7 linked regions of the Oryctolagus cuniculus genome follow. The protein of the gene in region 1 interacts with the protein of each later gene in a pairwise test. Links are inferred from orthologs where the notes say so. Each region holds a gene or a part of one and is shown in the gene's direction. Other genes may lie near its edges. The genes, in order: TCHP; NME7; CDR2; keratin, type I cytoskeletal 16; keratin, type I cytoskeletal 15; MKRN3; DYDC1.

Region 1 (3,500 bases):
GGAGGTCACTGGCCATGACCCCAGTGCACGGCCACAGGGCTCAGGCCCTGGCAGTGCCTTCCTCCCGCCCAGGCCTGGTGGTCTCCATCACTCCAGGGGCTGCTGTAGAAGCTGCCTGCAGTGCTTTTAGGAGATGAGGTATTGGGAAGGGGTAGCCTCAGATTCCGAGGGCAGTCCTTCCGGGAAGGTTTGCAGAGCTTGGGGGACAAGCTGACGGGAAGGTTGGTCCTCCGGAGCCTGTTGCTGGGCCCTGTGTGCTCTCTGGCTTACTGCCGGCCAGCAGCAGTGGTGCAGAGCCTCTGCCACCTGTTTCGTGTTTGCCCAGGGAGGAGGCCAAGGAGATGTGGGAAAAGAGAGAGGCCGAGTGGGCCCGAGAGCGGAGTGCACGCGACAGGCTCATGAGCGAGGTAAGCCAGCATCTCCTCCAGGCCCGGGGCCCCAGGCAGGTGTCTGGAGTCCACCGTGGAGCACTGATCCCACCGGCGCTGCTGGGGACAGTCTCTTCCAGTTATCTTACGTGGGCTTGGAAACTCTTGTTGAAAGAACTTGCAGGCCAGCACCGCGGCTCACTAGGCACCGGCGCCCCGGGTTCTTGTCCTGGTCGGGGCACCGGATTCTGTCCCGGTTGCCCCTCTTCCAGGCCAGCTCTCTGCTGTGGCCCGGGAGTGCAGTGGAGGATGGCCCAAGTGCTTGGGCCCTGCACCCGCGTGGGAGACCAGGAGGAAGCACCTGGCTCCTGCCTTCGGATCAGCGCGGTGCACTGGCCGCAGCAGCCGTGGGAGGGTGAACCAACGGCAAAGGAAGACCTTTCTCTCTGTCTCTCTCACTGTCCACTCTGCCTATCAAAAAAAAAAAAAAAAGAACGAACTTGCAGAAAGTAAAACTGACAGCACCCGAGCCTTGTCTTCGGCATAGCCACTGGCATCTTTCTTTCAACTCCTGCTTCCGTGTGTGCCGGTGCCTATTATACTGTGCCGTTCGAGGCGAGCGTTTCCACGTACTGCTCTGTGTGTAAATGCCGTGTCACGGCCAGATTGTTACCACGCGTCCTCTTGAGGGCCTCCCAGCGTGCCTTTCCATCGCTGTCTGGTGCGTTCTAGTTTGTTCTCATTCTGAGCCACTGTAAGCAATGCTGCCCGGAGTGTTTTGGGCTTTTCCACATTGAGATTTCTCCCTCAGCACGGGGAACCAGCCATGGTCTGGAGAGCACACGTGGAAGACGCCCAGTGGCTGGGTGGTCTGTGTCACCTGTGTGCCGAGAGCTCCGAGTGGCTTAGAGCAGGGAGTCCCGTGTGCCTGGCGGTGGGAACTGGGGTCTCCGTTGGTGATTTCCCACTCTTGTGAATACCAGGTGTCCCCAGTGGCCGCTGATTCTCCTCGCTCCAGCCTGGGTCCTGGTCGTGGCTGCTTTGCAGGTTCCCTCCCGAGAGCGTGACCGTAGGGTGTGTCGGTGGCTTCCCAGGCGCCTCTCTGATCCCCAAGGCCGTCCGAGGCTGGTGCAAGACATCACGCTGCTCTGGGGCCTTGAGTGGGGGATGTCACCCCATGAGCCGAGGCCCCCCCACCCCCTGTGGCCATCTGCGGGGCTTGTGGGCTTCCCCACTGCTAGGGAACGAGTCTCACTCTGCCCGAGTCTGAGTGGGGCCTGGCCGTCCTGTCGGGCTTTAGACCCGAGGCTGAGGGTTAGGTCGCCTGCGGAGCTGCCTGGCCAAGGCTTGTTCTCAAGTCTGCTTCTTCCTTCCTGCCGAGGCCAGGTCCTGGCGGGAAGACAACAGCAAATACAAGAAAAGATTGAACGAAACCGACGGGCGCAAGAGGAATCCTTAAAGCACAGGGAGCAACTCATTCGCAGTCTGGAGGAGGCGAGGGAGTCGGCTCGCCGGGAGCAGGGGCAGAGTGAAGAACAGAAGTCGGCCAGGAAGCAGGAGCTGGAAGCCCAGGTGGGCTGAGCCAGGGCCCTGGGCGGGAGGCAGCCTCTGCAGGGGACGCATCCTTGCCTCGCTGCAGGGCAGGCCTGAGGGCTGGTGCGCTTTCCGCACAGCTCGCTCGTGTTGGAGAGTGCAGTGCGCTGTGGCCCTGGGTACTGCAGCTGAAGCCCTGGCGCACCCCACACAGGGTCCTTCGCCTCTGGTGGGCACGGCTGGCCTGTCTGTCCCCTCCGTCCTGTCCGCACCTGCGGACAGGTGGCTCCTTGGGCCACAGTTCTCCATTTATTCAATTCCACAACCTGAGGTGGAACACGGAATATTCTGCCCAACACACAGCCGTGTGTGGAGCTTTGTATAAGACCCGGACGGCTGCTGGCCAAGCCTTTTCCAGTCCCCAGGGGCCCCTCCCATTTCCTGGCACCTGCCGCCCCTGCTCCTTAGAGCTCTGGTCCTCCAGCCCAGCTGGGCCCGCAGCCTCCCCTGCTGAGCAGGCGCAGGGCTGTGCCCCGGGGCCTTGCCTTGGGGTGACTTTGCTCTTGGGCCTAGGTGGCAGAGCGCCAGCTGCAGGCACGGGAGGCTGACCAGCAGGAGGAGGAGGAGCAGGAGGAGGCCAGGCAGGCAGAGCAGCTGTCGGACGCCTTGCTGCGGCAAGAGGCGAAGATGATGGCCGAGCGTGGCTACCGGCCCAAGGTAGGAGCGCGCCTCCGCGGCGTGTCCACAGCCCCGCTGAGCTGTGCTGTGCTGTGCAGTGCAGCGTCTCGGTTCTGTCTGGGCGCTCCTCTTGTGTTTGCCTCCTCCTGACTAGTAGAGAACCTCGGCGCAGGGTCTGTTTCAGTCCTTCGTTGGGCCTCCAACAGCCTTCACGCTTTTTGGCTCCTGCCACTGCAGCCCAGACTCTGATACCCCGCCGCCAAGCTGCGTGCCTGTCCAGCCTGTCCAGCCTGTCTGGGGGCCAAGAGCAATCTGAGAAGGGCGGTGGCCACAGCTGGGGAGAGGTGACAGCAGGGGCAGGCTCCCGACTGGTGAGACAGGAAAGCTGCCTGGTGCCCCACGGTGCCTTCTCGAGGTCATGAGCTGTGAGGGGAGGAGGCTGGCCCTTCCGGGTCAGGGAGTCCCAAAGCCAAGCAGAACAGAGCGAGCGGGGAGGCCACCGCAGGGAGCTCCCCTGGCCGTGCACAGCGAGTGTCTGGGGACGGGGCTTCCCAGGGCGCGCAGGAGTGTGTCAGGGCTGGTGCTTTACGGAACCACCGCAGGGAGCCTGTTTCCGTGTCGGGCAGAGCTTCCAGCTGGACGTGAAGAGCCGTTCGTGTCGTGCTCTTCGCTCTGACTTGCGGTGCTCTTCCACCGCCCCCATGTCTGCTTCCTTGTTCCTCAGCCTCGCGGACACCCCAGAATTGCCTGGGACTGACGCGGCTGGTGCCAGACGCCCGGAGAGCAACGGTGCTGGAGCCTCGACGCAGAGCCGCCCAGCAGCTGCACCAGGTTCTGTGGGGGCCGGGGCACCGGGGCCCAGGCACGGAGCTGTGGGGACGTGCAGCTCCCAGCCAGAGACCCTTCCCTGCTCTTACTCAA
Region 2 (3,938 bases), on another chromosome or scaffold:
CTGCTAGCGCGCCTGGAAGGCAGTGGACCCTGCACCCACGTGCGGGACCTAGAAGCATCTCCGGCTTTTGATGGCTCAGCTCATGCCGTTGAGGCTATCTGGGGAGCGAACTGGGGGATGGAAGATATTTCTCTCTCTAACTCTCTGTCACTAGGTCTGTCAAAAAAAAAAAAAAATTAAATGATGTTGCTTCTAACAACAGAGAGAAATACACATGGAACAGATACTTTCGGAAAGGTATGCACAACCTTAGAGTATACTCAGATTTACCGGAAAACATGCCAAGGAGGGTGGCACTCATGTGATGAACAGAACAGGTCACTCCCGGCTTCAAAAACGATCAGTGAGTCTAAGGCCTCCCAAGACAGGTTCCTCAACAGTCACAAACCCTCTTCCACTTATATTCCACGGCTCTAAAAACAGGCACCCGGCGTACCGAGTCCTGAAACCGCGCTTTGAAGACCGGCTGCGAAACGTACAGGAGCAGCCAGTCTGACGGCAAATACCCAGGATGCCCAGGAACCAAGGCTGCAGGCGTGGCTGTCCCGGGGATTCCAACGCCAAGTTTCGTTCCTGTCACAACAAGCCTCCCCGGTCCACTCTTTCTCTATACCCGACGCCACTGGCCACCGAGCTCCGACCGACGCGCGCGCCTCTCCAGCGTCACCTCGGAGTTACACAAGCCTATCGTCTAAGTTACCTCGGGATTCCTTTTCTATTTCGGCGGTTTCACGTTACAGGTTCCCGGATTCGCTCCTCGCCCATGCCGAAGCAGACCCGCCCAGGCCTTCCGGACAACCAGCCGCTGTGTCAGTCATGATCACTTCCGATTACCCAGGGTTTCACTTCCGGAATATTCTTCCCACAGAGGCGAGAACACACAGTCTGTGGTGCGTTTAAATTCAAGTAACGCAGACGATACAGCGTCTCGCCTCATCAATGGAAAGCTGGAGAGGGGTTTATTTCAAAATAAAATAGTGCGCTCTTTGGCGCCTAGCCGCGTGTTAACTTAAACTTCCGGGTCATCTGCCAACCAAACGGAAGTGAAAATGCTGGCAAGAGGCGGGAGGCGTCCTGTCGCCCCAGGAGACAGCGTGAAGGGGCGGATCTGTCAATGAGCTGGGCGTCACTGCGAGGACTCCCAGCCACTAGGGACGAAGGGGCTGACCGCTGACGTCTCCCGGGGTGTCCGGCAGGGGGCGGGGCCCTGTTGCCAGAGTAACCGGATGATGGTGTGGATGGCGGTGCCTTCCTGGGGCAACTCGGCTTCCTCGTGCTGAGATCCTGAAACTATGGTGAGTGCTAAGGCCGACCAGAAGAGCCGCTCCGGGTTCCTGGTTACGCAGCTTCGCAAGTGTTGGGTCGATGGGCCCTCGGAGGCGTCCGCAACCCTGTCTTCTCCCCATTCTCTCTCCCCCATTTGCCGTGGGCTGTCCCTGCATTCTCCCCATTCTGTTTCTTGCAGCGCCCTGAATTCCGCTCTAATATTACCGTAAGCCCTTAAAGTAAGGCAACAGAAAGTTTAGGGTTAAGACGCGGAGCCTCAGGTGAGATATTATTTCAAACCAGCCTCCTCTTTTGGGTATGCATTATTCATCAGTGCGTTTTTCAGGCTTGTGGACTTCACAGTAACGTTCCACCTAAAAGGCAGATGGTGGTGTGTAGGTGACTGTGGCAACACTGGCCCGAATCTCGCTAGGGCCTGGAGTCTGCCCCGCGGAGTGCCAGAGCACTGCCCCACACTCTGTAAAGGCCCCTTAATCATATTTGTAGAGTGGATCGGCTCGCTTGCATCCAGCTGACTACCTGCTATGTCCGTGCTGCTTAACAGGAATAACTTTCAGGATCACTTGAGAGCTTCTAGAATTCACTTGCTTGAGCTTCCCTCCTAAATTTTTGCATGAATAGGGATGAGGCTCCATGTTTCCATTTTCAATAAGCCTATAAGTGATTTTGCTGTCTTTCTGCCTGGTTTCTCCTGTTTTTCACCATGTTATTTAATGATACCACTGTATTATAACTGAAACTAGAAATCAGTGACATCCTACATTCCCCTTTCTCTGACATTTCCCATATTCAATTGGTCATTATTTTTGTTTAGAATTTCCTCATTTTTACGTTAGCTATTATATTCATTTCTTTTACAGTCTGGTCTGGCAATTTTCTAATCTATCGTTTTTTCTGCCACAAGGAAGAAGTTACTAAGTTCCCATCTGTTAATGCTACTCACCTCTTTGAAAGTCTAGACTTCCGTTTCCTACAGTAAAGTTTGGAATGGCACACAAGAGGCCCTCCACAAGCTAGCACTTACCTTTCTAGCTTCTTTCTTGGCTGTCCCTTTCCTGGATACTCCTTTTAGCCGTTTGCCTTTTAGCTACTTACTACTGAACATAGCAGACAACTTCAAACTGGCAGTATGTCTCTTCCCTCTGCTTGGCACATGGTACTGCTTCTGCCCTTTTCCCTTTTCTTGCATATGAAACTCCTATTGATCCTTCCAAGACTCAGCTTAAGTGTCTCTCTTTCTGTCATGGCTTTTCCTACACTCCACAAGAGGTAACTGTTTATTCTTTCTTGTCACCACTGTATATAGTACACATTTCTTTTATTGTAGATACCACCTTTACTTGAAATTATTTGTTTATAGCTTTGTCACCCTTCCTAAACTGTGAACTGTTAGAGGTATAGATGTTTACTATGTTCACTGCTATTGCTTAGAGCATATTTGGCACTCAAATGTTTGCTGAATGCATAAGAGAAGAGGAAAGAATGAGGTAAGTGGTCTGAACGAGAAGGAGATTGCAGGACAGAGTCCTCACTTCTCAGCTAGAGCATCGTTAAAGCCGTCATGTGGCAAATGGTAGAGAATATCAGTGCTTAGAATTCAATGACCTGTGCAGTGGCATAGGGAGCTGAAAAGTGACATTCATTAAATACTGTTTATTTTTCCTGTCTGCTACTTTTTGCTTTGTTTGCTGTTTTCACTCAGAGTTTCCGGCAATGCTAAGAGCAAACAGCAGTAAAGTGCTCTGCCTGCCTTCTTTGTTCCCATCCTGGCTGGGGTTTCATGGTTGGTGATTCTTTCAATTAGATGGTCAGTGAAGGCCCTTCTGAAGAAAGGACTTTTGGTATTGAGACCTAAATGATACAAAACGTGCTGATCTGGATCTTCAGGGTGCACTAACAAGATCACAGTTCCTGAGGCAGAAAGGGGCAAGCATAAATTTGAGCAACTTATGGTTTAATAGAGTACAAAAATAGAAACTGGGTTGTGAGGTGGTGCAGGGTTAGCTGCTTTGGGAGGTACATGGGGCAGAATAACATGAGATACAGTCTGTATGCAGATGCCAGACTGTCTGTTGTCTGTCTGTCTAGCTATATATCATCTACTTGGCGAGGCTTATGTTTCTCAAACTGTTGGAGGTGACCTATTATTCTGTCATGAAGTAGATTTGTGGTGTGTAGCCAGCATTAACAAAGAAGACTAACATAGAAACTTACCACATCTACTGCATGCCGTGAGGGTAGCTTTCATGAACTTTTGTTTTAAATTGTATATATTTTGTGAATGTACTGGGTTATGACATAAAACATATTACTGTGAGTCATGATCCACAAAGTTCAAGATACTATATACTTAGAGCAACATATACTTTAAAAGGCAAAGCAGTTAAAATCAGAAGCATACAGATTTGTCTTTTCATCTAATGACAGTGTTCTTAATGTGTGGCAAAGAAAGGAATTTAACAAGAGGCGAAAATTGGCTAGAGTGAAATGATCACATTTCTTTCTGTATCCAGCATCTCTCCTATGCTGTTGGATGTCAGTCCTTCATCAGGAAGGGTGGAGAGCAATCAACCGTGCTCCGTCTAGCCTCTGGTGTCTGTATGGCTGTGAAGATGGGGTCTCTCCATCAGCAACTGAGGATGGTGGCTGTC
Region 3 (3,500 bases), on another chromosome or scaffold:
CCAGGCCATAGCAGAGAGCTGGATCAGAAGTGGAGCAGCTGGGACTCAAACTGGCACCCATATGGGATGCTGGCACTGCAGGCGGCCCCTGAGTCCCAGCTTTCTGCTTTCAGTCCAGCTCCCTGCTAATGTGCCTGAGAAAGCAGCAGATGATGACCATGTGGGAGACCCAGTGGAGTTCCATGCAAACCCCAGCCATCTGGGGAGTAAATCAGAGGATGGAAGATTGATTCATTCATATTCTCCCTCTCTTTCTCTCTCTATCTGCCTTTCAAATAAATAAAATGAATCTTTAAAAAAGTCATAGATTGTTTTGTGTATCTAGTGTGCTGATCTTGAAGAATGTGAAGAGAAGTTGAAAAAATGAGAGACCTGAAACAGTGTTGTTGTTTTAAAGATTTATTTAGGGGCTGGTGCTGTGGCATAGCCTGCAGTGCTGGCATCCCATATGGGTACTGGTTCAAGTCTCAGCTGCTCCACTTCCGATCTCTGCTATGGCCTGGGAAAGCAGCAGAAATGGTTTAAGTCCTTGGGCCCCTGCAACCACATGGGAAGACCCAAAGGAAATTCCTGGCTTCAGATTGGCACAGCTCTGGCCATTGTGGCCAATTGAGGAGTGAACCAGGGGATGGAAGTCCTCTCTCTCTGCCTTTCCTTCTCTCTCTGTGTAAGTCTGACTTTCAAATAAATAAATTTATCTTTAAAAAAATTGAAACAAGATTTATTTATTTTGAAAGTTATAGAGTGAGGGAGAGACAGAGATCTTCCATCTGCTGTTTCACTACCCAGAGGACCGCAGTGGCCAAGCACTGGGCCAGGCCAGAGCCAGGAGCCAGGAATCTCATTTGGGTCTCCCACACTGGTGGCAGGGGCCCAAGCACTTGGGCTGTTCTCCACAGCTTTTCTCAGGCCTTTAGCAGGGAGCTGGATTAGAAGTGAAGGGGCCCATGCGGGGTGTTAGCCCCGCAGTCATCATTCTTAATGACTACTTCCATAAAGCAGATGACTGTTTTTCATTTCTTACAAATAAGGGTACATAAGAGTGTACTTTACGTGCTAGAAGGACCCAGTTCAATTGAATTTTAAATGGAACTCGGGTGTCTTTCTGTGCAGTTTCACCTTCTACTGGGATCTGACTTAAGCTATGTGGGTACATGGTTCATTCTTATTTCAAGGACTGGGTTGTATGAAAGGCTGAAGTGAGAGCATTTGAATTACGCCAAGATTCTTCTCTGCTAGATCTCCAGCTTGCTGCTGAGCTCGGGAAGACACTGCTGGATCGGAACACAGAGTTGGAGGATTCGCTTCAGCAGATGTACACAACCAATCAGGAGCAGTTACAGGAAATTGAGGTAACTGACTCGGCAGCAGAGTTAGCCTGGAGGTGTAGCTTGAACTAGTCGTAGACTGCTAAAACCACCCTTGCGGTTGGAAGCAGCATTTAATTTCAGATGCATACTTTTCGAGAATAACCCTCAAAGATGTGGTTGGTTTTTTTTTTTTGTTTGTTTGTTTTTTTTGTTTTGTTTTTTTTTTGACAGGCAGAGTGGACAGAGAGAGAGAGAGAGAGAAAGGTCTTCCTTTGCCGTTGGTTCACCCTCTAATGGCTGCTGCAACCAGCGCACCGCGCTGATCTGAAGGCAGGAGCCAGGTGCTTCACCTGGTCTCCCATGGGGTGCAGGGCCCAAGCACTTGGGCCATCCTCCACTGCCTTCCCGGGCCACAGCAGAGAGCTGGCCTGGAAGAGGGGCAACTGGGACTAGAACCTGGTGTGCCGGCGCCGCTAGGCGGAGGATTAGCCTGTTGAGCCGCGGCGCCAGCAGATGTTCTTTCTTCAGGTTTTCCCAACACATGGGTCTGCTATGATGAAGGAGATTTCTCTCTCTGCCCTTGGCAAAGTATTGTAGAAGTACATGGCTTGAGACTTGCCAGTATGCAAAGCAAAATGAAGCTGTGAATGTTACACTTAGTTTTCATTGTTTTCTTTTAAAAATGAATTATGCACTACTGTAGATGTACAGAAAGAATAATACAGTGAGCACCCATGTACTCACCACCCAGCTTTAGAGAGAAAACTTCCCACACTCTGGAGGCCCTTACACCCTTCTTTGGTGGTTTCTCCCTCCCCCCGCAACTACCAAACTCCATCCTGAATTTGGGTTTAGTTAAAAAGTCATACAGTACTTTGTTCCATAATAAGTTTAAACTCATTACACCATTCAGAGAATTAGTCATCAAATATGTGTTTCTTTTCTCCTTGCTGTGATCTTGATTTACTTACATTTTTGATGGCTTTTTTTAAATTAAAATGTTGTACATAGTTTAAACAAACTAAAATGAAAGATCCTAGACTAAGGCTTTAAAATGGAAGGTGCTGCTATCTTATAATTGGTCCCATTCAGGGACCCAATTGTGTGTAGGCCACTTGACTGTAAAGAACATAATTGTGGATCTTTTTTTTTTTTTTTTTTTGACAGAGTTAGCAAAAGAGACAGAGAGAAAGGTCTTCCTTCCGTTGGTTCACCCCACAAATGGCTGCTACAGCCGAGCTATGCTGATCTGAAGCCAGGAGCCTGGTGCTTCCTCCTGGTCTCCCATGCGGGTGGAGGCGCCCAAGCACTTGGGCCATCCTCCATTGCCTTCCTGGGCTACAGCAGAGCTGGACTGGAAAAGGAGCAACCGGGACTAGAACCCGGCATCCATATGGGATACTGGCGCTGCAGGCGGAGTATTAACCAAATGAGCCATGGTGCCAGCCCCCCATAATTGTGGATCTTAATCAAGCAGTTGTCCCATCAGAACTTCCTTCTCCACACAACTCCCAACAAAAGCCTCAGGCTAAATTACAGTCCCCCTCCCCCAGCTGGTGCAGTAGACCCACGACTAACAGACCTTAGAACAGGGAAGCAGTTCATGAGGATCAGTATGTACTTACTACATGCTGATTTCCTGAACCAGGTGCTGGGAATTCCAAGTAGAATTATACAGTCCTTGCCTTGAAGCAACCACATTACACAAAGTTCCACTTTTGGATACAGATAAATCCATGATCAAAACAAGGAGAAATCTATAATCTCAATATCCATTAATTTTACACAGTAGCCTAATTAAGGTGTATACAGTGGGTCTTCCCCTTCAGCAGGATTTATGGATACAGCTAGTGATGTGACTAAAACATACCTAATTCTAGGAAGGCCTAGCTTCTAACGATACTGAAGTCTCCAGGAACCCTGTTTAACACACTGTACATCAAAAGAGCATAGAGGGGAGAGCACTGTTGTGCAGTGGGTTAAAGTGCCTTCAAATGCCCACATCCCACATCAGAATGCCAGTGTAAGTCCCAGCCATTCTGCCTCCAGTCCAGCTTCCAGCTGATGCACCCTGTCGGGCAACAGAAGTGATCCCACGCCGTCCACGTGGGAGAACCAGATGGGGTTCCAGGTTCCTGGCTTTGGCCTGGCTCAGCCCTGGCTGTAGAAGGCATTTGCAGGGGTGAACCA
Region 4 (4,193 bases), on another chromosome or scaffold:
AGCCCTGGCTGTTGCGGGCAGTGTGGAGTGAACCAGTAGATGGAAGACCTCTGTCAGCCTCTGAATTATAAATAAATAAATAAATAAATAAATAAATAAATAATAAGATGGGGGGTGCTGAGACATGGAGGGAAGGTGGTGCAGGACAATGGAGTGGGCCCGGGCTGGGGGAGCAGGCGGGCCGGGCTCCAGTGTCAGGTCCATGCTACTGGGCATCCTGTGAGCTCTCCTGTGAGTGTCCCAGCGCCCTGGTCTGAGCTGGCGGCAGGAGTGACACCGGCTTGCAGAACTGAGTGGCACATGTCAGGCACCCTGAGACATGCCCAAGCCAGGTGGGGCCCAGAGACTAAGGCTGAATGACTGAATGTCTTGGGAACTGGGGACGTGAGAAGAAAGAGCTGGGGCTGTGTCTGTGCGGGGGCTCTGAAGTCCCTGGCAGGGTCAGGGGTCACATGCAGCATTAGTGCAAGACAGGGCCTGCCTCCCACCGTGCAGGTGGGTGGCCGGGATTAGGTGAGGGCAGCAGGGGGAGTGGAGAGGCCATATGCTGGGGGCGGCGTGTGGGTGCAGGGTCCTGCCTGGAGGTGTGGGGGGGACCCCAGACTGTAGCGGTGAGCTTGAGGGGGCAGCTGGACTGGAAATGAAGGCTGAGGGGCAGGGCTGGGGGGTGGTCCTCTGTGGCTGGTGCTGTGTCTTCCCCTTTTACAGATGAGAAAACTGAGGCTTGGTGGGGCTGATGGACCTGCCTGTGCTGTGCAGCTAGCAGGGGCCAGAACAGGAGAGCACCTCCCCGACTGGCTCTGCAGGGCCTGCTCTGCACCTCACAGGTGGTCTCTCAAACAGGGAGTAGACCCAGCAGGGGAAAGAGACTGGAGAGGACTCCTTAATCACTCAGGCCCCGGGAAGGGAGGGGAGGGGCCTCAGGGCACACAGCAAGCAAAGCACAGTGCAGCCACAGCCCAGCCAGCCCCCTAGCTGCAGCCCAGGACGCCCCAGGAAGGCATCGCTGACATCTCTAAGTGAAGGCTGTCACCCGTGGCGCGGGGTGGGGGGGCCGGCAGTCCCTCTGACTCACAGCCCACTAGGACGCGGCTGTCACAAAGTGAACTGTGCCCAGGCCCTGCCAGCCCCGGGGGCTCCAGGAACGGGAGCCGGGTTTCTGGCCGCCCAGCCTGAGTCACAACACATTTGTGTTTGTGCATTTTTCTCCCAGCCCCACACCCCCCGATCTGGGTGGGAACTCGAACCGGCACACAGCGAAGTGAGTCGGTCCCAGCTGAATAATCTGGAGTGGGAAGTTGGGCCGGGCCATGTGACGAAATCCCCAGGGAGCCTGGAGTCAGCAGTTGGCAGGGCCCCGCCTTCCCGGGCGCCTATAAAGCATCTGGGGCTGAGGCAGCCACAGCATCCTCTCTCAGCCTCCCCAGCACCTCGCTCTTCTCAGCCGGCTCCTCGCTCTCGCACCACCTCTCGGCACCATGACCTCCTGCAGCCGCCAGTTCACGTCCAGCTCCATGAAGGGCACCTGTGGCATCGGAGGCGGCTCCAGCCGCATGTCCTCCGTCCTGGCCGGAGGATCCTGCCGGGCTCCCAGCGCCTACGGGGGCCTGTCTGTCTCCTCCTCCCGCTTCTCCTCTGGGGGAGCCTGTGGGATCGGGGGTGGCTATGGTGGCGGCTTCAGCAGCAGCAGCGGCTTTGGTGGCGCCCTGGGTAGCGCCTATGGTGGAGGATACGGTGCTGGCCTTGGTGCTGGCTTCGGTGCTGGTTTTGGTGCTGGTTTTGGTGGTGCTGATGGTGGCCTCCTCTCTGGCAACGAGAAGATCACCATGCAGAACCTCAACGACCGCCTGGCCTCCTACCTGGACAAGGTGCGCGCCCTGGAGGAGGCCAACACCGAGCTGGAGGTGAAGATCCGGGACTGGTACCAGAAGCAGCGGCCCACTGAGGTCAAAGACTACAGCCCCTACTTCAGGACCATCGAGGAGCTGCGGAGCAAGGTGGGCGGTGCTGGGGGCTGCAGCCCTAAGAGGGGTCTTTAGGACACCTCTGTGTAGCAAACAGGGAGACCGAGGTGCTTCAGGGGAGTGCCAGGGCACCCAGGGAAGTGGTAGCAGAGGGTCCCTTTTGAGCATTTCTGTGTTGGAGCTGGGGTTGGGCCTGAGTCTTGGATTCCCTGCAAGCGTTCCCTGCACTGTAGCAGAACTCAGCTTCTCAGGCTTCCCAGCTCAGGGTGGCAGTGGTGGGAGGCGTGGGGTACAGGTGCACTCCTACCACTCTGACATGGGTGGACAAGGCACCCCTCTCTGGCCAGGGGAGTGGAGGGCCTGACCTGCCCACTGGTGACCCCCGGGGAGGCTCCTTTTGCCCCTCTGCCCCTCACCCTTGAGCGGCATGGTCCAAGGCTGACCAGGCCTCCCGTCCGTTCACCCCCGCTCCAGATCATCTCGGCCACCCTTGAGAATGCACAGCCCATCCTGCAGATCGACAACGCCAGGCTGGCGGCTGACGACTTCAGGACCAAGTGAGCACCCTGGGGGTGGGCTGCGGGTCTGGGGAGTGGGCCGTCCACCCAAAAGATGTCAAGGATGGAACCTGAGACTCCGCCATCTGTCCTGCCAGATATGAGCACGAGCTGAACCTGCGCCAGAGCGTGGAGGCCGACATCAACGGGCTGCGCAGGGTGCTGGACGAGCTGACCCTGGCCAGGACCGACCTGGAGGCGCAGATCGAGGGCCTGAAGGAGGAGCTGGCCTACATGAAGAAGAACCACGAGGAGGTAGGGTTGCGGCTGGCTTCGGGGGTACGAGCTTGGATTGGTGGAGTTCCCAGGTCCACCTGGAGCCAGGAGCGGGGTCCGCTGAGCTGAGTGTCGCCTGCCACCCCTTCTAGGAGATGCTTGCCCTGCGGGGTCAGACTGGCGGGGACATCAGCGTGGAGATGGACGCTGCTCCCGGCGTGGACCTGAGCCGCATCCTCAACGAGATGCGTGACCAGTACGAGCGGATGGCGGAGAAGAACCGCAGAGACGCCGAGGCCTGGTTCCTGAGCAAGGTGGGGCCGGGGGCCTCGGCGCCCCCGCAGGACGCCCCAGCCAGGGGGGTCCCGGAGTGCCTCACACTCGCTGGTCCTCTCTTGCCTCTCAGACCGAGGAGCTGAACAAGGAAGTGGCCTCTAACAGCGAACTGATCCAGAGCGGCCGCAGCGAGGTGACCGAGCTACGCAGGGTGTTCCAGGGCCTGGAGATCGAGCTGCAGTCCCAGCTCAGCATGGTACGAAGCTGCAACCCCGAGTCACCGCCAGGGCCACCCCTCCACACTGCCCTCTCCCTCCTCCCTGGAACGGGACTGGAGGGATTGTGGTACCCATTATCCAGATGGAGACATCAAGGCCCAGAGTGGTGCAGTAGCTTTTCTCCATGTTTTCTGGGCCATCACTACCCAGCTGGGAGCCCAAGTCCGTGCACCTCTAGGGAAACGTGCTCCAAGACCTGGAGGGACAGGGCCGTGATCTGCAAACATTCGTTCTCTCTCTCTCTCTTGCAGAAAGCATCCCTGGAGAACAGCCTGGAGGAGACCAAAGGCCGCTACTGCATGCAGCTGGCCCAGATCCAGGGGCTGATTGGCGGCGTGGAGGAGCAGCTGGCACAGCTGCGCTGCGAGATGGAGCAGCAGAGCCAGGAGTACCAGATCCTGCTGGACGTGAAGACGCGGCTGGAGCAGGAGATCGCCACCTACCGCCGCCTGCTGGAGGGCGAGGACGCCCAGTGAGTGCGGGCCCGGCCCACCCCAGCCCCTCCCCCCAGGTCCCTGCGCATCTAACGCCCCCTTTTCTCGCCCACAGCCTCTCCTCCCAGCAAGCATCAGGTCAATCCTACTCTTCTCGGGATGGTAAGCTGAGGACTGGCCCCCTGCCTGTTCCCTGGGGGATGGGGGCCAGGCCCCGTCCCCAGCGCCCCCAGCCCTCTGTCCCCGCTGCCCTGCAGCCGGCTCAGGTCCCATCTCTCCCACAGTCTTCTCTTCCTCATCCTCGACCTCTGCCGCTCGCCAGACCCGGCCCATCCTCAAGGAGCAGGGCTCGGTCAGCTTCAGCCAGAGCCAGAGCCAGAGCCAGAGCTCCCGGAACTGAGCCGCCTCTGCCGGAGCCCCTGCCCGCGCCGGCCTCGCCCCCTAGAGGCCGGACCCGACCTGTCACCC
Region 5 (4,031 bases), on another chromosome or scaffold:
AAGCTGGCCCAAGCGGCATCAGTAGAGACAGGATTTGAACCCAGGCCCGAGGGATTCCAGAGCCCCGTCCACCCCACCACACTGCAGCCTTGGCCCAGGAAACCCCCCTCCTCCTGAGTCTCCCTCTCTTGTCTTGCTCGCTCTCTGCTCCCAGACTTTCTGTTCATTCTGGAGTCGGGGGCCAGAGGCTGAGCCACACCTGCACGTTGCATTGACCACAGTGTCAGGTGGCCCCAACTTGGAGGGCAGAGGGGATGGTTGTCCTCTCTGAGTGTTTGACTTGACCTTCAACATCTCTGGCCAACCAGCCTCCCCACGTCTTTGCTCTTGGCAATGTTCAGGCTGGTTGAGACTTCTGGCTCCGGCCCTCCTCAGCTCTGCAGTGCCCGACAGGACAAACGGGGGTTAATCTGTCCCTGCTAGGCAGCGACATGCCTCTCCAGGAGAAGGCAGGGGCTTTCTGGAATGTGCCCCGGCCTTATCTGCAGAGGTTTGCCCCAACGCGTCCCGGGAGCAAGCAGAGGTTCAGTGACATGTGCAGTTGGCAGGTGGCGGCACCATCAATCAGCCCCCTGTCAGGGCTCAGCCTGCTGGGCTTTTGCAAGTGTGCCAAGGCCATGGAGGCTGGGGTGAACTGGAGGAGAAGGAGAGATCCTTGGGTTGGAGGGAGGGAGGCAGAGGAACCCCAGGGAAAGGACAGATGCTGGTCGCCTCAGTTGGATCAAGTCTTCCTCTCCTGTCCTCAGCCTGTCTCCCGGGGCCCCACAGCTCATGTACCAGGTCTGTGAGCACAGAGCAGGGTTTGGGAAGTACAGTCCCCACTGAGAGTGGGGAGCCGTCTGTGTCGGAGCAAGGCTCCCAGGGCAGGAGATGGTGGTGGCCAGGGTCTGCCCATGCTGTGGGTCCTTGGGGTGGGAGAAACCCACCGAAGGCACAGCTGGCTGGGACTTTGCTCCCTGCTGCTCTCTCTCCTTTCTCCTGGAGTAGAGAGATGGACCCGTAATCCAAGTGTTAAAATCATGGCCTGGGGCAAAACACCATTCATTCTGAATCATCTTTTGTTGCATTAAAAAAAAAAAAAACCTGCAAGGAGCCACGTGGAGGTGTGCAGGCAGCTGTGTTTGTCGGGAGGGCAGAGGAGCTGGCTCGGCTCTGGGGGAGGAGACATGGTCCTGCACCCCCCACCCCCCACCCCCAGGGATATATAAGGAGCTCCAGGCTGGGGAGACAGGCGCTGTGCTCTGGTCCCAGCCCAGATACCTGCCCGCATACCCAGTGTTGGCTGAGACCTCACCGGCTGCCTGACCATGGCTACCACATTTCTGCAAACTTCTTCCTCCACCTTTGGGGGAGGCTCTACCCGAGGGGGCTCCCTCCGGGCTGGGGGAGGTGGCTTTGGTGGGGGTAGTCTTTATGGGGGAGGTGGCTTTGGTGGGGGGAGTCTTTATGGGGGAGGTGGGAGTCGCAGCATCTCGGCTTCTTCTGCTAGGTTTGTCTCTTCGGGGTCAGGAGGGGGCTATGGGGGCGGCATGAGCTGCGGCTTTGGTGGAGCAGCCGGTGCTGGTTTTGGTGGCGGCTTCGGAGGGGGGTTTGGCGGTGGCTTTGGTGACTTTGGTGGTGGCGACGGCGGCCTCCTCTCTGTCAACGAGAAGGTGACCATGCAGAACCTCAATGACCGCCTGGCCTCCTACCTGGACAAGGTGCGCGCCCTGGAGGAGGCCAACGGCGAGCTGGAGGTGAAGATCCGGGACTGGTACCAGAAGCAGAGCCCGAGCAGCCCGGAGCGCGACTACAGCCAATACTACAAGACCATTGAGGAGCTCCGGGACAAGGTGAGCCCCAGGTGACAGCAGGAGGGGAGCAGGTGCCAGGTGCCCTGCACGTGTCTGCTTCTGCCTGGGTGATGACTGCGTTATGTGCAACCTCGGCAGAGTGGCCGTGCACCTGCGTTCCAGGAGCACGCGCTGGCGCACATCTGCTCACCTTGGCAGTGTGGGCAGGAGGGCTCTTGGGAATCCCGTTAGGTCCAACAGGGGCACAGGTAGGGGCAATTATGGAGAGCGACTCACCCTCCCTGTCCCACACGCCCTGCAGGAGTCTGCTCAAAGTGTTCCTTTACCTCCTTGGCAAGAATGGTGCTGGGGTGTAACCGCAGGAGCCCCGAGTGCCAGGACCTCCCGCTGCGCCCTTCCAGGGGGCTTTGGTGCCAAGAACACTGCCAGGACTTGGGGGACCTGGGAGCTCTTTCCAGGCTCTGCCACTGTCTCCCTCACTGGCACTGGTTTCCTCCCCTCTAAAACGCCTTCTCGGCCCCCTCCACGTTCCGTAGACGCACAGCTGTGTCAAGGAGTGTAGGGGGCAGTGGCCGTGAGCTGTGCCCAGAGGGGCCGGTGCAGGAGGACCCTGGGGAGGGCTACGGCTGGAGCCCACTGCACCTCACTCTAGCACATTCTTGGCCAGCCACATCCCACGGGGTGGGGAGGGGGGGTAGGGTCCCAGGCCATGCCCTGGAGCCGAGGAGGGCAGCACCTCAGGTGAGGCTGCGCCAAGGGCCCCAGGGGCTTCCCTTGGTGGTGCCAACCTGGAGGTGGTGAGCGAGGGGTTGGCGGGTGGCAGGAGGGCAGCAGGGGAGGGAGGAATCCCTTAGGCATCCGAGCTCCTGGTCTCCTGCAGATCCTGGCCGCCACCATCGACAACTCCCGGGTCATCCTGGAGATCGACAACGCCAGGCTGGCTGCCGACGACTTCAGGCTCAAGTGCACACCTGCCTCCCCCGCCCCGCCCACCCCGCGTTCTCCTCTTTGCTGGGCCTTGCTCTCCCTCCGACTCAGCCGCCCGGATCCCTCTCTCTCCTCAGGTATGAGAACGAGGTTGCCCTGCGCCAGAGCGTGGAGGCCGACATCAACGGGCTGCGCAGGGTGCTGGACGAGTTGACCCTGGCCAGGACCGACCTGGAGGCGCAGATCGAGGGCCTGACTGAAGAGCTGGCCTACATGAAGAAGAACCACGAGGAGGTGCGACTGGGGGTGGTGGTGGTGGTGGGCGTGGCGGGGGGGGCTGCTGCTTCCTTTGTCACAGCTGGTAGAGTGCTTAGTGGCACAGAGGCCCTCTGGTCCTCTAGTGTGAACTGCTGACCTCCTGTGTCCTCCCTGGGTGGCGCCTGGGGCAGGCAGGAGATCCTCACGAGCAGTGGCGGGCGTGGTGAAGGCCAAGGTGACCGTGTGAGTGAGGGGCACAGCCACGGTGGGCATGCGGGACCCCAGACTCTCGGCTCTCTCTTCGGCTCCTCCACCCTGCAGGAGATGAAGGAGTTCAGCAACCAGCTGGCCGGCCAGGTCAATGTGGAGATGGATGCGGCGCCGGGTGTGGACCTGAGCCGCATGCTGGCCGAGATGAGGGAGCAGTACGAGGCCATGGCGGAGAAGAACCGGCGGGACGCCGAGGCCTGGTTCTTCAGCAAGGTGGGCCTGCCCTGCCCCACCCTGCCCGGCCAGGCCCGGCTCCCCAGGTCTCGCAGGAGGCCCCCGGGGCTCACTTCTCTCCTGCGTGTGACTCACAGACCGAGGAGCTGAATAAGGAGGTGGCCTCCAACACAGAGCTGCTTCAGAGCAGCAAGACGGAGATCACAGACCTGAGACGCACCATGCAGGGGCTGGAGATCGAGCTGCAGTCCCAGCTCAGCATGGTAGGGCCGCCTGCCCTCCACTGCCCGCCGCCTGCCGCCGGCCCGCCTCCACCGGCCAGGGCCCTGGGCGAGTTCTTCCCCACCTGATGTGTCGCTCCTGCAGAAAGCCGGGCTGGAGAACTCGCTGGCGGAGGTGGAGTGCCGATACGCCACGCAGCTGCAGCAGATCCAGGGGCTCGTGGGCAGCCTGGAGGCCCAGCTGGGCGAGCTGCGCTGCGAGATGGAGCAGCAGAACCAGGAGTACAACAGGCTGCTGGACATCAAGTCGCGGCTGGAGCAGGAGATCGCCACCTACCGCAGCCTGCTCGAGGGCCAGGACGCCAAGTAGGGCAGGGATGCGGAGCAG
Region 6 (4,224 bases), on another chromosome or scaffold:
ATATTTTTGGAGGAAATATTTTAAAAGCTTTAAATTAGAGGATTATATGATTCCATGTGTAATTTATAGATTTATATGCATATTTCTTATGCTTTTCTTATTTTTATTGATATGTTCTAGACATATGCCCATATCTAATAAATTTAAAAGAATGACTTAATCTTGTTCCTGATATCCTTTCATGATTTTTTTAATGTCTTTTGTTAATTAGTGATATCACTTTAAAAATTTCTAGTCTGGGTTATTCGAACTTTGTTCGTTTTTTCTCAAGTAATTTGGTACAAATTTATATTTACTTAATTAGGATTTAATTTGATGACATGGATAAATGTGTCATAAATATTCAGACTTTTTCACTTTAGAATGGAAATTTAAGTTATAAAAATTTCCCTCTAAGAAACTTATTCTAGCAAATACAATTCGTCAGCACATCCTAACACGGAAGGATTAATTATGAGACAAAGAATAAATCAAATGTTTGAAATGCTGGAAGTGCTAATGATCACATTCAGGGCATTAAAGGGAGAGGGAGCATAACCTCCTTAGAAACGCAGAGAGCTCTCCTGTAACATTCAGCAGACAGCCGCGCGCCCCTGAGCAAAGCAGCAGCACAAAGACAGTGACTGTGAAAGGAAAGGGAAGAAAGCAGCTCTCACCGTCAGGGCAGCGGCCGAGCCTGAAAAGCTGTGCTGACCCCGCAGCCTCAGCCTCGCTCGCTGGGCGGAGGGAACAAAGGCCACCAAGAATTAAACCAGCCGGGAAGAAAAGCCGGGTCGCGCCGGGGGCAGGAGCCTTGCAAGTCCCACAAAGGACGCCCTCGGCCGGGGCTGACAGCCTCAGCCACACGTGCTCCCTGCTCGCGTTTCCTCCAGCAGCCCAGGCAGACCCTGCAGCAAACAAAGACCCCAAGAAACGATGTCTGGTGGCCGCCGCGCAGCGCACAAAGCCCCCGCAGGGGCAGCCAGGGGGCAGCGGGACACCACAGTGGAGACAATGCGCGGTGCGCAGACAAAGGCGGTGTAAAATCCACGCAGGGCATGCTTCAGAAACTGCAGGATTAGCCCATCAGCACGTGGAGAAGCAGCGAGGATCGTGAACTTTCTTTACGCAGACACGTTTGACAAATAATCAGAAGTGCATGGCAGAAACTAAAGACATGGAATTAAAACCTCATCTGCCAGAGGAGACAGTGTGGGAGGGGGGCTTGGGGTCTGCGGGAAAGCAGCAGAGCAGGGAGCGACGCCAGAGGAGGGGGCGCGGAGCCCGCCTTTGCCTGTGTGAACAAAGGAGCTGTCAGATTGGTCGGCCGTGGAGACCCGGCGCCGCGCGCTGCCGGTGCCACCACAGGAAGTGTCCGCCACGCTGCCTGCAGGGGAAAGAAGGTAGGAACACACAGTCACAGGGAACAGAGAGTGGGGGAAAGGAAAAAAAGGTGCACACTTCCCCCAAAGACACCTCCGTGACCGTCCCGAGCTCCAGGGCTCAAGCCCAAAAGGAGACAGCACCGGGGAAGTTCCCGAATCGTTTCTGGGAGAAGAAGCTGCCATGGAAGAGCCTGCAGCTCCCTCTGGTGCCCAGGAGGCATCTGGGGCCCAGGCAGGGGCTGAGGCAGCAGGGGAGGGTGCATCTGGGCCCAGCCTCCCTGAGTGTGAGACCTCTGGGGAATCTGTGGCTCCAGACACAGCCCCTGCTCGCGCGGCCTTGGGCCTAGTCCCTCTCCGTGTGGCTCCCAGCCCAGCCCATCTGCGGATGGTGGGCCTGAGGCACGTCCAGGCCGCAAGGGGAGGGGCCAGGCCCAGTCACCTGCCGAGCCGGAGCACTGGCAGCTGGACAAAGCAAGTCGTCTGCAGGTATTATCTGCATGGGCTGTGCAAGGAGGGGGAGAACTGTCGCTACTCTCACGACCTTTCTGGCAGGCAGGTGGCCCGAGAGGGCCATGGCGCACCGCCCCGGGCCTCTGCAGACAGAGGCCCCAGCATGGCTGCGCCCAGCCAGCCCCCAACTCAGGAAGTGGCGGAAGCCGCCCCTGCTGCATCCTCAAGCTCCTTGCCTCTGATTGGCTCGGCTGCTGAAAGGGGTCGCTTCGAAGCCGAGTTGGAATGCGCTGGTCAAGGGGCTGTCGGAGGATCAGGTGTAGAAGGCTGGGAAGAGGCCGTTGAGTTTGTTCCCGGGCAGCCCTACCGGGGCCGCAGGGTCGCTTCTGTCCCCGAGGCTCCTCTACAGAGCTCGGTGACTGAGAGAGAGCAGATGGCTGTGGGCATGGGGCAGCAGATGGCTGTGGGCATGGGGATGCAACTTTGCCCTCACGCTGCCAGGGGACAGTGCTTTCGTGGGGAGAGCTGTATGTACCTCCACGGAGAGATATGTGACATGTGTGGGCTACAGGCCTTGCACCCCTTGGATGCCGCTCAGAGGGCAGACCATAGAAAGGCCTGCGTCGAAGCACACGAGAAGGATATGGAGCTCTCGTTTGCCGTGCAGCGCAGTATGGATAAGGTGTGTGGCATCTGCATGGAGGTTGTCTATGACAAAGTCAACCCCAGCGACCGCCGCTTTGGCATCCTTTCCAACTGCAACCACCCCTTCTGTCTTAAGTGTATCCGTAGGTGGAGACGTGCCAGACACTTTGAGAACAGGATCGTCAAGTCCTGCCCACAGTGCAGAGTCACCTCCAACTTTGTCATTCCCAGTGAGTTCTGGGTGGAGGAGGAGGAAGAGAAGCAGAGACTTATTCAGCAGTACAAGGAGGCGTTGAGCAACAAGCCTTGCAGATATTTTGCCGAAGGCAGGGGCCACTGCCCGTTTGGAGAGCACTGCTTTTACAAGCATTCATACCCTGAGGGCCAGGGAGAGGAGCCTCAGGGGCGGGGTGGTGGACCGTCGGCCGCATACTGGCATCAACTTTCGCAGCCTGTGCAGCTGGGAGAGGGCAGCCTGCTCTTTAAAAGCAGTAAAAAGGAGCTTGTCACGCTTCGGCTGGCCAGTCTGTTGTTTAAGCGGTTTCTTTCACTGAGAAACGAGTTCCCCTTCTCTGAGGAGCAGTGGGACTTGCTTCATTATCAGCTGGAAGAGTATTTCAACTTGAATCTGTAGTATCCTGCCACACTCTGATCAAGTCTGCTGGGGCTTTGTCGTCTGCTGTTGGCTGTTTTCCCTTTATTGACATGCCTGTCACTTTCAGGGGCTGTGGTGGCGACTTTTATGCAGTGTTTCTCTGTTTTCTTGTCTATGCCCCGAATCTTTCCCCTAGGGTAATGGTGGTTTCATGTGTTAAAAAATAGTAAAGAATCCTTAAAGTTACTGTTTGGTGGAGCTAATATGACTGTTGCTTTGTGGGGTTTTTGTCATGTCTGTTTTTCAACAAAGTTCACTCAGTCCTAGTCTAGTGTTTACAGAATTTCTACACTCATTTTGAAGTCCCTCAAGAACAAATGTGACAGGGTGAAAGGGAAGTCTTAACTGGAAGCTTTTTGCTACAGTAGCCTTAAGAAGTGGACACTCGCAGGGCCTTGCTTGTTTTTGTTTGTTTACATCACTGCTCCTTCTGGCATCTCTTAAAGTGCACTTGTTAACTTGTGGTTACTTTGTGATTTCGTGTTTTACTTGAACAAAACCAGGTGCAAATGTTTACATGTTTTTATCCTGTTCAACTTGATGTGAAGTTATTTTATTTATATTTGGAAGTATGTGCTTAAAAGTGATATATTATATATGCATATTTGTGTATATTAGCTCTGTATTGGAAAATTTATATAAAATATACATCGTGATGTATATGTTTGCATAATAAAATAAATGCAGAGATGAAAGCTGAGGTCAAGGGATAGCAGGCTTGGCTGCTGTGTGAATAATCTTTCCCTTGCACAGATGTCACTTTTTAGCACCTAATGAAAACTGTTGTTCAAGTGTAATGCCAAGTGTAACAGATACAAGTCTTAAAGGATATATGAAACATGACATTGGTAATTCCTATGACCTCACTGTGCTGTTATAAATACAGAAATGTGTACTTCCATGCAGTAGAGCCAACAGCTCATTCATTATAACATAAAATCCTGAGCTCAGACATACAGTTGTTCATTTTCATTTTTTAAATATTATTTTTATACTTTGAAAACGGGCTTTTCATAAATTTATCAAAATAAAGGTAATAAGCATACAACATGTAAAATAGAATAAAATACTAAAACTAGTTAGGATATAAGATTGGAAAGATAAAAGAAT
Region 7 (2,765 bases), on another chromosome or scaffold:
GCACTGCAGGCCAGGGCATTCACCCACTGTGCCACAGTGCCAGCCCTGTTGTTTGTATTTTTAAAGAGAGTATCCTGAGATATTCACCATATTTCTTATATATTTTAAATTTGTGCATGTACTTTTATGTTTTAGCAATTATTACTAGAATTCCATTGTCATTAAGAGGTATTGGTTAATTGTTTTAAATAATAATGCTGAATTTTGATGTTGTAATTCAGAAATTTTTTACAAAAATTGAAAGAAAAGTAATATATTAATTTTGAAGTGATTTAAAAGTAAAAATGATTTTTTTGAGTGCAGGAATCACTCCTAGACTCGGGCAAAACCCTAGCTGAAATTAGCGATCGATATGGAGCACCAAATTTGAGCAGAGTGGAAGAACTTGATGAACCAATGCTGTCTGATGTAAGCATCTAAATCTTAAAAACAATGCTTTCCCCCTTTGGTAAAGTCTAGCGCAAACGAGGCCAAGCTTTGCTGGCAAATGGATTTTTGCTTCATAGGAAGAAAACCAGCTGCCCGGTTGCTGACCATAGTCCTAACTGGCATTTCGCCCTTTTGCTAACTAACGTGTAACTGGCATATTCAAATCTGTGTTTATCTATATACCTGTATCTATGGCTGAGTCATGGTTGTCTGCATATTTGGAGTTAGACTTTGGAAAAATTCAAAGCCTCTTCAAAATATGTATTTAAAATTATTTTGTGAAATACATCATATTCAATTTCAGGGGAGACTATTTTGGTTTACAGTAGCAAAGCCCAGAACAAATAAAATCCTAATGCGAGTGTATGCTTCATGGCATGTGCCTGCCACTGTGGCAGATGCAGTCGTGACTGTGGTAGATATTTCTTTGTGGAGTTTGCCGTCTAGAGGGGAAACAGACAGTTAAATCGGACGCGTATTTAATGGTGCTTACTGGAGTGACAAGACGATGTGCTGTCCAAACCAGCCTGCTTTTGAGAACAAAAGGAGCCCGATCAGCAGGTGTGAACCAGCGCTGTCCTGGCAGGGAGGTGCGTTTGGCTCCTGTAGTCAGTGTGCACTAAGTGGGAAAGGCAGAGGCGTGGAGGAGCCTTGGTCAGCGAGGACTCGGGAGGGAAGTCAGTGATTCGTAGCTCAGTGCTGAGAGCACAGAAGGTGTAGAGAGTCGGGGAGGAGAGACTGCAGAGGTGAGGAAGGGAGGCGTCAGGGCTCAGACTGTAAAAGAACTTGCAGCTCCTGCTCCGAGGCTTATATTTTACTGTATAGGGGTTGATATGGTCAGAACTGCATTCTATTTTATTTTTCCTGGCGGTTTAAATTAATCTTTTCTGCATTTTTAAATTTCTTTATAATGACAATTTACTTTTATCATCAAGAAGAGATGTTCCACCTGCTAGGACAACAGTTACCTTAATAGTTCCAAGCTTCATTGGATTTTTGACAATATCATGGTAGTTATGGAGTCCCAAAGCATTAGCATCAACAGAGATCAGAGAAGGGCCATGCATATGATAAGTGCCCCTTTAAAAACCTCACTCCTGCAGGAGAAGCACCTGGCTCCTGGCTCCTGCCATCGGATCAGCGCGGTGCGCCGGCCGCAGCGCGCCGGCCGCGGCGGCCATTGGAGGGTGAACCAACGGCAAAAGGAAGACCTTTCTCTCTGTCTCTCTCTCTCACTGTCCACTCTGCCTGTCAAAAACAAAAAAAAAAAAACAACAACAACAAAAAAAAACAAAAAAACCTCACTCCGGTGCCTCAATTGTTCGGTTGCTTTAACACTCTTTAAAGCTTCACATTGCTGCTGAGAGTCCGGCAAAATATCCTTCAGCACAGTTTCTTTTGTCTGTGGCATTCCTACTGATTTTTTTTTTCCTGTAAGTTTTGGAGAAGATGCACTATTGGCTTTAACTACTGAAGCTGTGGAGTTGTAATATCTGCTTTTCTCTGGACACCCCCTGTAACTTGGGCCACGATTTGTGAGCTAGAAGTGGGTGGAGCTCCTTGCGTGGTGTGTCGGGGAGAAGTAGATGTCTGGAAACAGAGGGAGTCCTGTGCTGCTTGGCTACCTTTTCTGTTGCTTGGGGGATTTTTTCCTTTAATAGAAGCCACTGCTGCGTTCTGCTGAGTGCCTTGCCTTACTCTGGCCTTGCGGACCACAACCGGTTCTTCTGTGGCGTTGGAGACACTTTCTGCACCAAAGCTGCTCTAGAGCTTGTGCCGTAAGAGCAGTGTCGTCTCCAGGCTTGTCATATAAATAACAATTTTTTTTTTAAATTTTTTGACAGGCAGAGTGGACAGTGTGAGAGAGAGACAGAGAGAAAGGTCTTCCTTTTGCCGTTGGTTCACCCTCCAATGGCCGCCACGGTCGGTGCACCACACTGATCCGAAGGCAGGAGCCAGGTGCTTCTCCTGGTCTCCCATGGGGTGCAGGGCCCAAGCACGTGGGCCATCCTCCACTGCACTCCCGGGCCACAGCAGAGAGCTGGCCTGGAAGAGGGGCAACCGGGACAGAATCCAGCGCCCTGACCGGGACTAGAACCCGGTGTGCCGGCGCCGCAAGGCGGAGGATTAGCCTGTTGAGCCGCGGTGCCAGCATAAATAACAATTTGAGAACATGGCATTGGTTCTCCAAATGCTTCTTCTTCTTTTTTAAAATTTATTTGACAGGTAGAGTTGTAGACAGTGAGAGAGAGAGAGAGAGACAAAGAGAAAGGTGTTCCTTCCATTGGTTCACTCCGCAAATGGCCGCTACGGCCGGTGCTGCGCCAATCCGAAGC

Evidence for each region.
Region 2: the proteins of TCHP (region 1) and NME7 interact in binary tests that used the Homo sapiens proteins (3 or more experiments, as listed by UniProt). The two-hybrid records come from large-scale screens. The link is inferred for Oryctolagus cuniculus from reciprocal best matches to the Homo sapiens genes TCHP and NME7.
Region 3: the proteins of TCHP (region 1) and CDR2 interact in binary tests that used the Homo sapiens proteins (3 or more experiments, as listed by UniProt). The two-hybrid records come from large-scale screens. The link is inferred for Oryctolagus cuniculus from reciprocal best matches to the Homo sapiens genes TCHP and CDR2.
Region 4: the proteins of TCHP (region 1) and keratin, type I cytoskeletal 16 interact in binary tests that used the Homo sapiens proteins (3 or more experiments, as listed by UniProt). The link is inferred for Oryctolagus cuniculus from reciprocal best matches to the Homo sapiens genes TCHP and KRT16.
Region 5: the proteins of TCHP (region 1) and keratin, type I cytoskeletal 15 interact in binary tests that used the Homo sapiens proteins (3 or more experiments, as listed by UniProt). The two-hybrid records come from large-scale screens. The link is inferred for Oryctolagus cuniculus from reciprocal best matches to the Homo sapiens genes TCHP and KRT15.
Region 6: the proteins of TCHP (region 1) and MKRN3 interact in binary tests that used the Homo sapiens proteins (3 or more experiments, as listed by UniProt). The two-hybrid records come from large-scale screens. The link is inferred for Oryctolagus cuniculus from reciprocal best matches to the Homo sapiens genes TCHP and MKRN3.
Region 7: the proteins of TCHP (region 1) and DYDC1 interact in binary tests that used the Homo sapiens proteins (3 or more experiments, as listed by UniProt). The two-hybrid records come from large-scale screens. The link is inferred for Oryctolagus cuniculus from reciprocal best matches to the Homo sapiens genes TCHP and DYDC1.

The regions. Positions count from the first base shown.
Region 1 is NC_091452.1:18,803,129-18,806,628, forward strand, and holds part of TCHP (trichoplein keratin filament-binding protein), read left to right. Parts: intron 1-325; coding exon 326-407; intron 408-1,754; coding exon 1,755-1,940; intron 1,941-2,474; coding exon 2,475-2,618; intron 2,619-3,303; coding exon 3,304-3,336; 3' UTR 3,337-3,500. UniProt on the Homo sapiens protein: Tumor suppressor which has the ability to inhibit cell growth and be pro-apoptotic during cell stress. Inhibits cell growth in bladder and prostate cancer cells by a down-regulation of HSPB1 by inhibiting its phosphorylation.
Region 2 is NC_091438.1:29,352,378-29,356,315, forward strand, and holds the start of NME7 (nucleoside diphosphate kinase homolog 7), read left to right. Parts: upstream 1-1,138; 5' UTR 1,139-1,292; coding exon 1,293-1,295; intron 1,296-3,938. UniProt on the Homo sapiens protein: Possesses an intrinsic kinase activity. Displays 3'-5' exonuclease activity with a preference for single-stranded DNA. Does not seem to have nucleoside diphosphate kinase activity.
Region 3 is NC_091450.1:16,880,403-16,883,902, forward strand, and holds part of CDR2 (cerebellar degeneration-related protein 2), read left to right. Parts: intron 1-1,239; coding exon 1,240-1,352; intron 1,353-3,500.
Region 4 is NC_091448.1:21,051,123-21,055,315, forward strand, and holds the start of keratin, type I cytoskeletal 16, read left to right. Parts: upstream 1-1,393; 5' UTR 1,394-1,478; coding exon 1,479-1,997; intron 1,998-2,438; coding exon 2,439-2,521; intron 2,522-2,619; coding exon 2,620-2,776; intron 2,777-2,889; coding exon 2,890-3,051; intron 3,052-3,143; coding exon 3,144-3,269; intron 3,270-3,542; coding exon 3,543-3,763; intron 3,764-3,840; coding exon 3,841-3,887; intron 3,888-4,009; coding exon 4,010-4,125; 3' UTR 4,126-4,193. UniProt on the Homo sapiens protein: Epidermis-specific type I keratin that plays a key role in skin. Acts as a regulator of innate immunity in response to skin barrier breach: required for some inflammatory checkpoint for the skin barrier maintenance.
Region 5 is NC_091448.1:21,109,378-21,113,408, forward strand, and holds the start of keratin, type I cytoskeletal 15, read left to right. Parts: upstream 1-1,231; 5' UTR 1,232-1,307; coding exon 1,308-1,832; intron 1,833-2,673; coding exon 2,674-2,756; intron 2,757-2,857; coding exon 2,858-3,014; intron 3,015-3,299; coding exon 3,300-3,461; intron 3,462-3,559; coding exon 3,560-3,685; intron 3,686-3,788; coding exon 3,789-4,009; intron 4,010-4,031.
Region 6 is NC_091443.1:13,380,130-13,384,353, forward strand, and holds the start of MKRN3 (probable E3 ubiquitin-protein ligase makorin-3), read left to right. Parts: upstream 1-1,424; 5' UTR 1,425-1,545; coding exon 1,546-3,093; 3' UTR 3,094-4,224. UniProt on the Homo sapiens protein: E3 ubiquitin ligase catalyzing the covalent attachment of ubiquitin moieties onto substrate proteins.
Region 7 is NC_091446.1:71,135,142-71,137,906, reverse strand, and holds part of DYDC1 (DPY30 domain-containing protein 1), read left to right. Parts: intron 1-303; coding exon 304-408; intron 409-2,765. UniProt on the Homo sapiens protein: Functions as part of axonemal radial spoke complexes that play an important part in the motility of sperm and cilia. Plays a crucial role during acrosome biogenesis.